Linked DNA regions of Coturnix japonica. The protein of the gene in region 2 interacts with the protein of the main gene of each other region in a biochemical or structural test. Links are inferred from orthologs where the notes say so. Each region holds a gene or a part of one and is shown on either strand. Other genes may lie near its edges.

Region 1 (3,956 bases), on a different chromosome or scaffold from region 2:
TATAGATATATATACACACTGGTGAACTCCTTATTTATTTACATAAGATTTAGCAGATTCCACATACACATCCATGGCCAGTGTGCTCCCAACCTCCCTGAGATGCAGATCTGCACAGAGGGATAAATATGTTGCTAAACATCTAGGCATGTTCATTTCATGAACTTTATGTTGCATTTGCCAATGAAGACATCAAAGGAGCCCAGCTTTGTATGCAGTGAATAGGAGCTTGTGGCAGTTCAGCTGTTACCTGAACCCCCTAAACAGGGTTTGACTAGGAGTGCAGGAAGTGGAGGTCCTCTGAGTGGTATGATTTCATACATCTGGGAATGCATGCAGTGCATACCATTGCGCTGTCTGGCACTGGTATTATTTGCTTTTTCTGCCACTCCATCACCCCCCACTAGCTGAATGTGATTCTTCTCAAGCTGCTTGCGTAGCCACTTCTGAAATGGAGCCAAGATCAAATTCCCTGATGCCACTAACAATGTTCACTTTAACGGACTCTCTTCTTTGAAGTGCTTTCACTGCTCATCTGTAGTCAGAAGCAGCTTGAATTTGTTCAGCTGAAACTCACAGATATTTTAGAGAGTCTTGATGGTGAAGAAACCCATTCCAGGACCTGAGGGATTCTGTTTCAGGACCACAGTGCAGTGTTCATAGCCCTCAGACTCTAAGGAGAGCACCTGTTTGAGTGAGCTGTGTGCAGAAATGTTTTGCTCTAACTGATATTTCTCAGGTTGTCATGAGTAATCATGAATAGCTTTGCATATATATTTCAGCCCTGGAAAGCTATTTCAGCATGGAAGGCTGAAATAAAAATGTACAGCTCTGTGTACAAAATCGTGCCATCTACCTTCTGCTGTAGTGAATGACAAGAATTCAGGACAGGAAAATAACACAATGGGAAACTTTTTACTTACCTTTAGGGGGAAAAAATATCTGAACAACAGCCCCTGCCTTCCAAGCCCCTTCCTCCCCCCCCCCCCCCCCCACTTCTAAAGAAAGAAGAGAAAAGAAGAGAAGCAGCTAAGAAAACCCAAATAAAGCAGAACACAAATTGCAGAGAGAGAAGATGGCAAACAGTATTTTGTAAAGCTGATTTATTTGGTCTGAATTTTAAGAAAGGTACTGTGTTCCAGCACTGTAGCTTTAGAAATCAAAACTCTCTTGTAGCATTTTATAGGTTCTACAGAGTCTCTGCTCAAACCATGCAGTTCAGCCAGTTCCATTTTTTTTTTTCCTTTGGAGAGCAGAATTTGCAAAATTTCTTTCTGTATTTAATAGGAAAATCGACAATGATGATAAAATTTAAACTTTTTTTTTAAATTATTATTATGTTGTTATTGTTTTTATGTTTTGGGGGAGTGTAAAACTTTAGGGAATCTCTGTGTCCTTTGTGTTACTTCATATTGGAAGAATAGTTTTAACACAGAGATACAATGTGACTAATGAGAAGATCATTTAATCTGCTACTCGTTGGGTTTTTTAGCTGCTTAGGAGATTTTTTAGATTGGTATTTTACAGAAGGATAATAATGTTCATTTTTAATCAACCTGGAAATAGCAGGCAATAAATACCTCCATAACTGAAGCTTCCTGTTAGGTGACTACTATAACTTCTTTCTTAATGCCGTACAGATCTTTTTGCATCTAGCAGCTTGTGTCCACTGGGAACACTGATTTATTTACATTTTTAACATCATGAAAGAAAACTCATAATAATTTCACTTGAAGATAGACTAAATTATGACTCCCAGGGAGCCAGAAATAACTGTGAAAGGGTTTTTAAAAATGCAGTTACATGGATGGTGAGAACATTCACATTTAGTGAAGGTAAAGAGTTATTTTGTCCTAACAGGCATGACAAAACCTGTCTTCATTCCTTTCTGTTCAGCTCAGCAAGTGCTTCTGTGCTCCAGTAGTTAATCAGTTACCAGATTCCACAGCTTTTGTTTTCACACTGTTTAATTTTTCTTATTTGACACCATACTTGTGAATGGATTCACTTGCTGATACAGGTACAACCTTCAGGTTTGCCTGCTCTTTATGCCTAGGATTGCTTTTTGTTGCTGTTGCCACCACCGTTACCTGGTATGTTCTAAACAGGAAAACTTCTGGTAATTATGTAGAAAGGAAGCGGTAAGAATGACAAGCACATTTCCTATTTTACCAGGAAGCCAATTCTCAACATGTAAATCTAGTTTTAATTAACTCACCTCATAAAACTGAATAATTAAATAAAAACAGTAATCCAACATGAACCAGTAATAGCACATCTTGCTGTAGTCGCACTACACCTCTTCACAGCAAGAAGACTTAGCTTACATACGCTGTATGAAAGAGGAGACCAAGAGGTAACACTCAAGTGACACACTCTATGTACTAACTCATTGGCAGTGAAGTTTCTCTCTCAGTCCATGCACGGTCCCTTAAACTGCCTCCAGTAAATACTCCAGCAGACAGATGTTGAGCTGAGCACAAGAAGGGTCAAAAAGCTGCTCTCCCCAAAATCCTGTCACCAAGCACCACAGAGGCTGGCAGTACCCAGACACCTTAAGGAGATCATATATGTAAGAAGCCATTATACCATTTTAAGCATCAGATAATTTTTTTTTTTTCTTAAGGTTATCTTAAATTAATTTTAAATAAAGGCTTTCAAAACTCACCCTTCTCTTTGAATTGTGCAAAGTTCTGCTCCTGATCGGGGTGATAAATGTTTACTATTGACTTCCCCTCCAGCTATAAACCTCAAGCGTAAGTAAGATGAGGAAGCCACCGTGGACCACACTAGAGAGTGCCGAGAGGAGATCTGCTGCTCCTAGGATATATACAATGTGCAATGGATAACCTAATATGCCTTTCATTTAACTGGCTGGGCAGGTTTCTGCATTCTGGAGAGTGTGGAATCATACCAGAATTTGTTGGCATAACAGGCTCGTCTGACCGGTTCCTGGGGCGCCGGGAACCAGCACAACCAGTTTGCATCAAAGGCCGCCCAACATGCTGCAGCTCAGCACTGGGGAGGCTTCGTGCCTCACGCCTCCGTCAGCTCGCGGCGTGCTGCTCAGAGGGAATGATGTAGCCTCCAGCAAAATAATTTACAGAGGGGTGAGGGAGTGATACATTCATGGTAAGTGTAGCAAGACTGTGGTGTTATAAAATTTCTTTCGTTTTATGTGCTGATGCACTGGGCTAGAGGTCTTGCTCAGTGTGACTGCAAAAGGAAATTTGTCAGAAAATACCTTTTTTGTAGTACTAACACCAAATCTTGAGTGTGAAAAGACAGAAACTAGGCTCCAATTCAGCCTTGCTTCGTAGAATCACAGAGTTGTTTGAGTTGGAAGGGAGCTTTAAAGGTCATCTAGTCCCCTGCAGGTTGCTCAGAGCCCCTCCAACCTGACCTTGAATGTCTCCAAGGATGGGGCATCCACCACCTCTCTGGGCAACCTGTTCCACTGCTTCACTACCCTTACTGTAGAAAACTTCTTCCTTACATCCAATCTAAATCTCCCCTGTTCCAGTTTGAAACCATTTCCTCTTTTCCTATCACCACAGATCTTGCTGAAGGGTTTGTCCCCTTTTTTTGTTCTAACCCCCATTACAGTCCTGCTCTAAGTACTTAAGCATATCTACATGTATGTATAGAACTCTGCATAGCTTTGCTATATGTTAGGGACAGGATCCTGGGAGCCTGCTTGTGAAATGCACACCTCACGCCTTCCATGGAGGTCTGGGTTAGTATAAGCTGCTCTGAATTACCACACATGATATTTCAAGGTGAAACAAATTGCAGAACACCGAGGGTATGGGACATGCTTCCATAACCATGAGGAACTACTGGTGAGGCAACACCCTTCTCTGAAGGATACAGAAGCCGCTCTACTACAATTGCACACAGGCTGTAAGCAGCAGCTGTGCTGCTTCATATTCATGGCTGGGAGGCAAGAATACTTC
Region 2 (4,272 bases):
AAACCCTTCTTCCTTCTCTCCTCTCCCTTCTTTTTCCCTAAGTCAGATCAGCCTGCACATCCACAGTCCATCATTTCAATAGTACAATCCCTGCTAGAACGTAACTAGAGTTAAAGCTTTTTAGAAGGCACCATTAATGCTCTGTGCAGTAAACACACACAAAAGAAGCCTGCACTCATTCTCATGTTCCCAATACATACACCAGTGTCCTGGTTATGTAAGAACACTTGCAGGACTTCACACCAGAACCATAGATAACACTTCAGCTTTCAGCCAACTGTCCAGCAAGAGAAGCAGAGCATCCCAAGAGAAACCAGAACAAAACTATAAGGGGAGGAATTTTATTCCATGAGCTCACACCCCTCCTAGAGATTTTAATTAACCAACGAACATGTGACAGAATTTCAGCTGTGCTTTTAGCACCTGGAGACCAAATCCGAACACTTTACAATCATGATTAACAAGGAGATATCAAGATAGCCCTGACCAAGAGATAAGCATTTGTATTCTCAAATTAGCTGCCAGGTACGTATATTTAGTCTACTTAATATTTGCCATTCCAGTCCCCTGAATATTAAGGCCACGTAATGGAAATCCGATAAACACTGATACTTGCCAGGGATTTAACAGCAGTCACTTCTGGCACATCTAACCAGAGTGAGACTCCTAAACACCTTGAAGAAATCAGTTCTATTACACTGTTTTATGTATTAGTAATCATTAGCTGATCATTAGCTGATACTTTTAACTTACCACAACTACATGAAGTTTAGTGGCTCTTGGTTTGAACTTTTGTTTTTCATTATGTCAAGCAATAGTCAAACTTCACCTCATTATTTAGTAATGTTGAACACAACTGGGACAGAACAGCTCAGCCCCGTCTGAGCTTGAACTAATGCCTGTATTTGCTCTCCCTCTTCTGCAAGACTCCGGTTCCAATGTCTCAGGCAGGACTTAAATAACTGCAATTATCATCTTCAGGCAGAGTGCAGCAGATGGACTGACTGCACTGAGCCAGCAAACCAACCCTATCCAAACTTCATTTTCACCTTACCAGAAATCCAGATTTTTTTGGGGGGAGGGAGGTGCAGTTTTCCTACAGGTTTTTGATCTCAAAGTTGCACAGTTCTCCCATGTGACTCCAGGAGGGTGAACAACGGCCACCACGGAACAGATTTTAAACACTTGGTTTATGGATTTTTTTTTTACACTTGTTTCAGATATTGCATCCCATTGACTTTCCTTCCCTCACCTGAGAAGGTGACTGAATGAACACAATTAAGTCCCAACTTACTGTATGGGAGAGGTCCATCATTAGAAAGAACACCAAGTTCTAAGCTGGAGAAAATCCATCTCTGTCCTCCCATTCAATTTAGCACTATTCCCTCCTGCACACACCAGCACCAGGAGGTACCAACGGCCCATTTATCACTACCAACTCACTAGAAACTTCCCAGAGTGCTGGTAGCTCAGCTCTGTTGCTGGCACTACCTGCACTGGGACCAAACCCAGCCCACACTGCTGTGCCATCCATCCAGCAGCCCCAGCACAGCACAGTGCTCCCATAGCACAGTGATCACCGCGCCTGCATCCCTGCCCCATTACAAATCTGTATATACACAACGTGCTCCTTCATTCTCCATTCATTCAAAAATCAATACATGAATCAAATCGTTAAGACCGATTACATTACGAATCAGAAGCAGACGCTGTAAGGATCGTTAAACCTGCGCTGTTTGCCGGGGCAGCTTTCCTTTCCTTTCCTTTCCTTTCCTTTCCTTTCCTTTCCTTTCCTTTCCTTTCCTTTCCTTTCCTTTCCTTTCCTTTCCAGTCAGAGAAACTCAATGGTTGAGGTGGAACCAAATCGCAGCGCCTAAAACTGCCGCACAAAGTCTGCAGCGCAATAAGCGGCTCAGGCGGCACCGACCCGCACGGTAGTTCCGAGAACAACAAAAGGAACCGCGGGGCGGCCCAGCACGGAGCGGCGCAGCGCTGTCCCGGCCGCCGCCGCCGCCGTTGGTCTCGCGAGCCCCGCGGAGCGGCCGAGGCCTGTGTGTGCCGGGCGAGCTATTGGCGGGGCGGGGAGCGCTGGGCGCAGCCGGTCGGCGCACGCAGCTCAGCCGCCGAGTGCGCCCCGTAGGCGGCCGAGAGCTGAGCGGGCCGCGGCGCAGGGACAGAGCGGAGCCGTCCCGAGTTGGGCAGCCAGACGCCGTCAGGCCCGGCCGCGCCGACCGGGAACCGCCGGGAACCGCCGTGCCCGCGAACCGCCGCAACGCGAGGCACCGGACCAGGCCGCACCGGGCCGGGCCGCACCGGGCCGGGCCCCGCCGCCCCAGGCCCCGCTCCCGGCCAGGCCTCACCGTGCTCGGCCGCAGCACCCGCGTGTGTCCCGGATTGAGGCAGCGGCGAATGACCCGGATGTTCCCGGCTCCGCTCCCCCCCTTTGTCTCTGCTCCGGAGTTTCCCTCCCTCTCCCTTCCTCTCTCCCCCTCCCTCTCTCGGTGCCGTTCGCTTTATCGCCGTGTGTCCCTCGGCCCGACCCGTCCGTCCCGCTGCGCAGGCGCGGTTCGGCAGGACCTGCGGGCGGCCCGACAGCGCCTGAGCGGGGAACGACACGAGGCGGAGCGGATCCGAGCACGGCCCGGCACAACGACGAGCCGCCACGGAAACACGGGCGGAACTTTTACCTCAGGCGCTGTGGAGTCAGCCGTGCCCGACAACCGGCCCGAGAACACGGCGGGGCCGGCCACTGCGCCTCAGCTCGATAGGACCCGCCCACCGCCACCACCCGCGTCTCTGATTGGAGGATGGGGAGTCGACCCTGAGCTGTCATTGGGCAGAGCCAGGAGGGGGCGGGGCCATCCCGCCTGCAGGGGGTTCGTGTCGCTGTGGGTTTGTTTGGAACATTCACGTTTAATGTAACGAAACATGTCGGGTCTTTAAACCTCTGAGCAGCATCCGGCCATGGTCTGTCCATTGAACTGCACCGTATATAGCGCCTTAATACCAACCATGGCTTATCTTCCCCTCCATTCTGCCATCATTAGGCATTGCCATAAATAAGCACTTATATATTGATGGGACAACAATGATCTCCTGTCAGTACCCATAACACAGCACAAAGCAAGGTGTCATCAGGCCAAAGCTCTGTGTGAAAAACCAAGGGCAGGAATTATCAAATTCTACTGATAAAGACACTATGGCGGCGATGCAGGGATGGGTGCGGAGCCTTCATGGGCTGAGGGTTTAAAGGCAGCTTAAATGAGGGTTCTAATGTGCAGCCACTCCCGTGTTTAACCAGGAGGGTGAGCCCAGTGCTCCGGCAGCTCCTTCCCTGGTTTGATTTATTTATTCTCTAAACAATCCACGCTCACATTTCAATTTAATCTCGGTTTAACTCCACAGAAACGATGGAGGAACCTTCCCCAGGTTGGTCTCAGAAAATAGAAACAAACCAGATCCTCAAAACACTTGTCGTATTCTCACCCCATCTTCATTGAGCTTCTCTCATTCAAGAGGAATTGTCTTCCCTTGGAATGAATATCTCCTTTTCCTATACATGCTTTACCCCACTGCACAGCACAATGATGCAAAATAGGATGTCTCTCTTTCTGTGGGCCCTCCTGCCCAACTTTCTTCTCTCACCCTAACGCACAAATACTTATGGCATTAGTTACTGTATTCCTTTTAACTAGTAAATGCTGGAGGAGAGATGGAGAAGAGCTGTGTACAGAAAGCATCCTGACCATCACTAATGGAAGATGTAAGGAAAACTTTAAACATGCTTTGCATTTAAAACTGATTAAAACTATTAAGATGAAATTCACCTCATTCTTAATGGTGTACCCCCCTAAGATTCCAGAATTCATTAATTGGCTTATTTACATTTCTTATTACAAAGTGTCACTTTCAGATTCATTTTTCAGATATAAGTATTTCTATTAAAAATCTACATACTGGATTCAAAAAGTAATCAGTGAGGTTAGGCAGGTTGATTTGTTAGCTCCGTGAATGAAAGAAAATATACACAAAGTCATTAATTAAAACTTGACACTCTTCTTGGTTATATACCCATCCCAGAAGGGACAATTTCCTGCTATAATGATCAGTGACTGTATAAACACAAAGGAAAATACCTTAATTTCCCAGTGGATGTACTTCCAAATAAGCACGGCTTTTTCTGTAATCAAGTCTTTGAGGAAACAGAAAAGGATTTGCTGCTTTGAATGACTACAGAGAAATAAAACATTCTGTATTTAAATGAAGTGCTAC
Region 3 (4,226 bases), on a different chromosome or scaffold from region 2:
GTCTGATTTCACAAACAGCTCCAGCGCCCGCACGATGTTTGCAGCTTGCTGCAAGGACAGGGCAGAGCTCAGGGCATGTGTGACCTGTCCACACTACACCATAACACAGTGCCCACTGACATACCCTGATCTCCAAGGACACATCCAGGAAGGGGTCGTAGGTATCTGAGACACTCTTACACACGGAGCATTTCACTGCAAAAGAAAGAGCAGTGAGTGCACCCTGCTACATCTGCACCTGCCATTCAGCAGCTGCAGCGCTGCCCCTCTATGGGTCTGGGCTCTGGGATGCCAGCACCAACATTTCTGTTGGGCATTTGCAGCTTGGCAGGGAGGAAGGCTGCTGGCATAGCAATTGTTGCTCAACAGCTGCAAGCGTTGGTTCCTTCAATGAGTGACAAAGAGCCAAGGACCCGCAGCCAACAGCTTTCTGTGTTGCCACAACAGGAGCCAAGACCCACAGGCATGGCAGGAGTGGCAAAGCACAGCTTTGGGTGATTTACACATGCTTGGCCATTTTCCCAAATGATTTTTAGTGCAGAGCTGTTGGGGTAACAGCAGCCCAGCAGCAGCACTCACCACGGGACCGCAGGTAGCCACCAAAGATCTGGTGAACCAGCGTGGTGGCCTGGGTCTGGCGATCCAACCTGGAAGAGAAACACCACATCTATCACTGCTCTTCCACACCACAATGCAAAGGCCACCCCTGTGTCCCGCACCAACCACAGACTGTGATAAGGACAGGGAAGATGCAGTGCTTCTGCTGTTTTGTGGATCCCAGTGCCTGAGCTCAGGGAGCACCAGGCTGTGTGTACCCAATGCTCTCCAAGCATGGTTGCTCCCAGCTGCAGCTCAGAGCCTTGCACTGAAGGTGGATGCAGTGCTGGTGCCCTGGGTCTCAGCCCCACAGCAGGGCACAGCCCAGGGCTGTATCATGGAGCAGAGATGGCCTCAGTACCCCAGTACTCAGAGCTGTGTGTACCTGGTGCAGCCGCTCAGGCAGGCCTTCTGCATGGCATCGATGGTGTAACGCAGGAACTCGTGTGCATCCTCCTGGCTGCCAAAGCGAAAGTGCCGGGCAATCTCTGCAGGGAAAAAAGGGCTCAAATCCTGCATACAGAGCCTCTATGCCCCCCCCCAAAGCCAAGCTGTGGGGCAGCCCCATGTGGTCCTGCGGCAGCTCAGCCTCCATGAATCAGCTCCGAGCCACTCACTGCCAGGACCTGCCCCAGCCTCGTGAGTCACAGCAGGGGAGCACAGCGTGGAAGGACCCATCCTTACTCTTGAGGTCTCGGATGAAGGACACCGGCTTGATGGCGTTGCCGCTGTTGGCAAAAGCCTGGATCATGTGGTTCTGCATAACGCACATCATGCAGAAACCTCCCTGGTGACCTGCAGGAGAGAAGAAAGGACGCTGGGGACAAAGGCAGGAGGGATGGAGGGGGTGAGAGAGAAGGGGAACCCCTGTGGCCATGCAGCACAGCCCTCCCCATGAGCTCAATGCTATAGCACAGTGCAGCCCAGGGGACAAGGACAAGCATATGACACACCAGCTGGCAGTGCCTAGGTCACAGATAACGCTGCAGATGAGAACACCCATCTGTAAGGGTGGCACACAGGGCACCAGCACCTCCCAGACAAGCCAGCAGGTCTGTATATAGGGCAGAGCTGAGCTTTATGAATGGGGCACTGACGACAGGCTGTGGGCCGTGCCACCAGGAACCACCCCAGGCAGTTCTGCAGCCATTGGGGGCCAACCCAGCCCAGGGCAGCCCTCCCCCCATATATAACCCCCCCCCAGCCCTACAGCACTATCCCACACCCCACTCACAGGCACGGCTGTGCTCCTTGGACAGCAGGTAGCAGGCGAGGGGCGGCGTGTAGGTGAGGCACTGCAGGGTGGCGTTGAGGAAGCAGGTATTGCCCAGGTTGTGCAGCCCGGCGCCCACCCGCTGGACACGCTCCCACTTCAAGGAGAGCCGCTCTGCGGGGAACAGCACCTTCTGCGGGGCGGGGACACCATCCCCGGGTCCGTGATCGCCTCCTGAGGGATGGAGGGCGGTGAGCGGAGGGCTTCACCGGGACCCCCCCCATATACACACTCCGATTTGCCTGGGGAGAGGCACGCACCGTGCTTCCTGCTGGGCCCCTCCGGTGGGGGCGGGCGGGGCGCGTTGGTCCCGGTGCTGGCGTTGAGCGGGCGGTACTTGCCCCGCAGCAGCTCCAGCTGCCCGGACAGCCCACGGCTCGCAGGCTCGAACTCGATCCTTTGCAGCAGCACCTTCTTGGCCGAGGCGGCCAGCAGCCGGCCCAGCTCCCCGTCCTCGCTCGGCTCCTTGCGGCCCGGCTTCAGCGCCTCCCGCAGCTTCTCCACGATCGGCATCGCGGGGCCGGGCTGGGGGATGGGCGGAGGGGGGGTGAGCGGGGGGCGCCACGAGGAGCGGCCGAATCCGGCCCCATTCAGCCCCATTTAGCTCCGTTCTCCCCCATCCCCGGCCCCCACCGCCACCCGCGACCTTGAGCCCCGCCACCACGTGCCGCCCCGCCCGGTACCGTCGCTCCGCAGCGGCCCCACGCAGCGCAGAGATGCGGCACAGACCACGCGGGCTCCGAACCTCCCCCGCCCCCCCCGAACCACCCGCCGTACACCCAGCCCCGTCCCCCCGGCCCGGCCCGGTCCACACGCACCATCCGGGTCCCGTCCACGCACGTGTCACCGCCTTCAATGGGCGGCTCCCGCGTGGCGCCGCCGACACGAACCACTTCCGCACCACCCCCATTATGGGGGCAGGGTCTAACGCAAAGCACGCCCCTATAATCACATGGCCACGCCCCCCCCCAAAAAAACAAGAAAAACCCACCCCCCAAGCCCAGCTTTAAATCACGGCAGCACGTTAGATACATCTGACTTTAATACTTATCAAGCAGAGATCTGAAAATAACTATACGTAAACTTTTTTGTCTCTTTTTTTTTAACCTCTTTTTTTTCCCCTCCTTTTTTTAAACACCACATCGAGCTGCTGACCCCAAAGCAGAGCCACGGCCATAAATTAAAGCGGCTCCAAGGGGGGGCTTTAGGGGGGGCCGGGGGTTGGGGCCTGCCCCAGCGCTGCCCCACAGCCCCTCCATCATTCCCCCCCCCCCCCCAACCCCCCCCTTTTTGCCCCACTGTGGAGCCCCTTTAGAAAAATAAGTGCAATTCTAACGCCTAAAGGGGGAAATAAAACCCCGAAATCAAACCCAAAAACCCCCGACAAAAATAAACAATAAACCAAACAAACGACAAAATAATCACAGCACGGGAATGATAGAGCTGATGGCAGAACAGTGGGGGGTATTAAACTCAGAGACAGGCTACCAGCAGAGACAGGAGTAAATGGCACATATGATATAACCATACAGAAGCGAACGGGAGTCCTATATGGGACTGATTAGAGGCTGGGTGGGGTTGGTTGGGGTTGTTTTTTTTCTTTTTTTTTCTTTTTTTTCTTGTTTTTTTTTTTTCTTTCCTTTCTTTCACTGTTTCTTTTAACACCTTCAAGTTGCCCAGACTGGTCCAGAGCCACATCGTCACCCTATGGGGATGTACAGCATGAAATACCCCGAGCTGGGGCCGGCCGTGTGTATGGGGAAATGGCTCAGAGAGGGGGGGTGTGGGGTCGGTGTCCTGCAGCCATCCCCCTCTCCTCCGAGGGGTGAACCCCATTCGGCCCCTAAGGGCTACAGTGGGTGAGAGCCCCATGGCTCCTGCAGGTGGGAGCAGCTGGTGCCAAGCTGCACCCTTCTGGCACCCCACAGCAAGGGATGGGATGGAGGACGGCACGGTGCTGGTGCTGGGTAGCTCCAGTTGGCAGCTGTGCCCCTGCAGACCGAGGGCAGCTCATCAGCATTCAGCCTGCAGGGAATGGGGTCGCAGGGTGCAGGTATTGCAGGGTATGCACGGTTGCAGTGAGCCCCCCCCCCGCCCCATGCACACACGGCAGCTCCATGCCCTGCGGCCCCTCGGGGCTGTGTGGGTTTTCATGCTGTCTCCAGGCCCCGATGTCAGCGTGGACCAGTCTAACATCTCGCTGGGCTTTCCTACTGGCTACTGGAATGCACTCGGTTGGCTTAGGGGTCCTCGATGTCGAGAAACTCCTGCTTGGGGGGGGCCATGCCGCGGTACCAGGCGCATGAGCCGTCGCTCCTCTTGATGCAGGCGTAGTGCTTGGCCTGCCGCCCGCCCA

The links. The genes of interacting proteins can lie anywhere in the genome.
Region 1: the proteins of UBE2I (region 2) and RBBP8 form a complex in vitro, tested with the Homo sapiens proteins (2 studies listed by BioGRID, with this or other methods). The link is inferred for Coturnix japonica from reciprocal best matches to the Homo sapiens genes UBE2I and RBBP8.
Region 3: the proteins of UBE2I (region 2) and USP36 form a complex in vitro, tested with the Homo sapiens proteins (2 studies listed by BioGRID). The link is inferred for Coturnix japonica from reciprocal best matches to the Homo sapiens genes UBE2I and USP36.

Annotation. Positions count from the first base shown.
Region 1 is NC_029517.1:92,769,109-92,773,064, reverse strand, and holds the start of RBBP8 (DNA endonuclease RBBP8), read right to left. Parts: upstream 2,803-3,956; 5' UTR 2,669-2,802; intron 1-2,668. UniProt on the Homo sapiens protein: Endonuclease that cooperates with the MRE11-RAD50-NBN (MRN) complex in DNA-end resection, the first step of double-strand break (DSB) repair through the homologous recombination (HR) pathway.
Region 2 is NC_029529.1:7,278,603-7,282,874, reverse strand, and holds the start of UBE2I (SUMO-conjugating enzyme UBC9), read right to left. Parts: upstream 2,804-4,272; 5' UTR 2,688-2,803; intron 2,495-2,687; exon of another isoform or gene 2,361-2,494; intron 1,967-2,360; exon of another isoform or gene 1,689-1,966; intron 1-1,688. UniProt on the Homo sapiens protein: Accepts the ubiquitin-like proteins SUMO1, SUMO2, SUMO3, SUMO4 and SUMO1P1/SUMO5 from the UBLE1A-UBLE1B E1 complex and catalyzes their covalent attachment to other proteins with the help of an E3 ligase such as RANBP2, CBX4 and ZNF451.
Region 3 is NC_029533.1:4,609,265-4,613,490, forward strand, and holds the start of USP36 (ubiquitin carboxyl-terminal hydrolase 36), read right to left. Parts: upstream 2,803-4,226; 5' UTR 2,692-2,802; coding exon 2,689-2,691; intron 2,659-2,688; exon of another isoform or gene 2,554-2,658; intron 2,396-2,553; coding exon 2,131-2,395; intron 2,045-2,130; coding exon 1,832-2,044; intron 1,393-1,831; coding exon 1,282-1,392; intron 1,086-1,281; coding exon 983-1,085; intron 648-982; coding exon 580-647; intron 196-579; coding exon 125-195; intron 49-124; coding exon 1-48. Other genes in the region: TIMP2 (metalloproteinase inhibitor 2), read right to left, coding at 4,111-4,226. UniProt on the Homo sapiens protein: Deubiquitinase essential for the regulation of nucleolar structure and function. Required for cell and organism viability.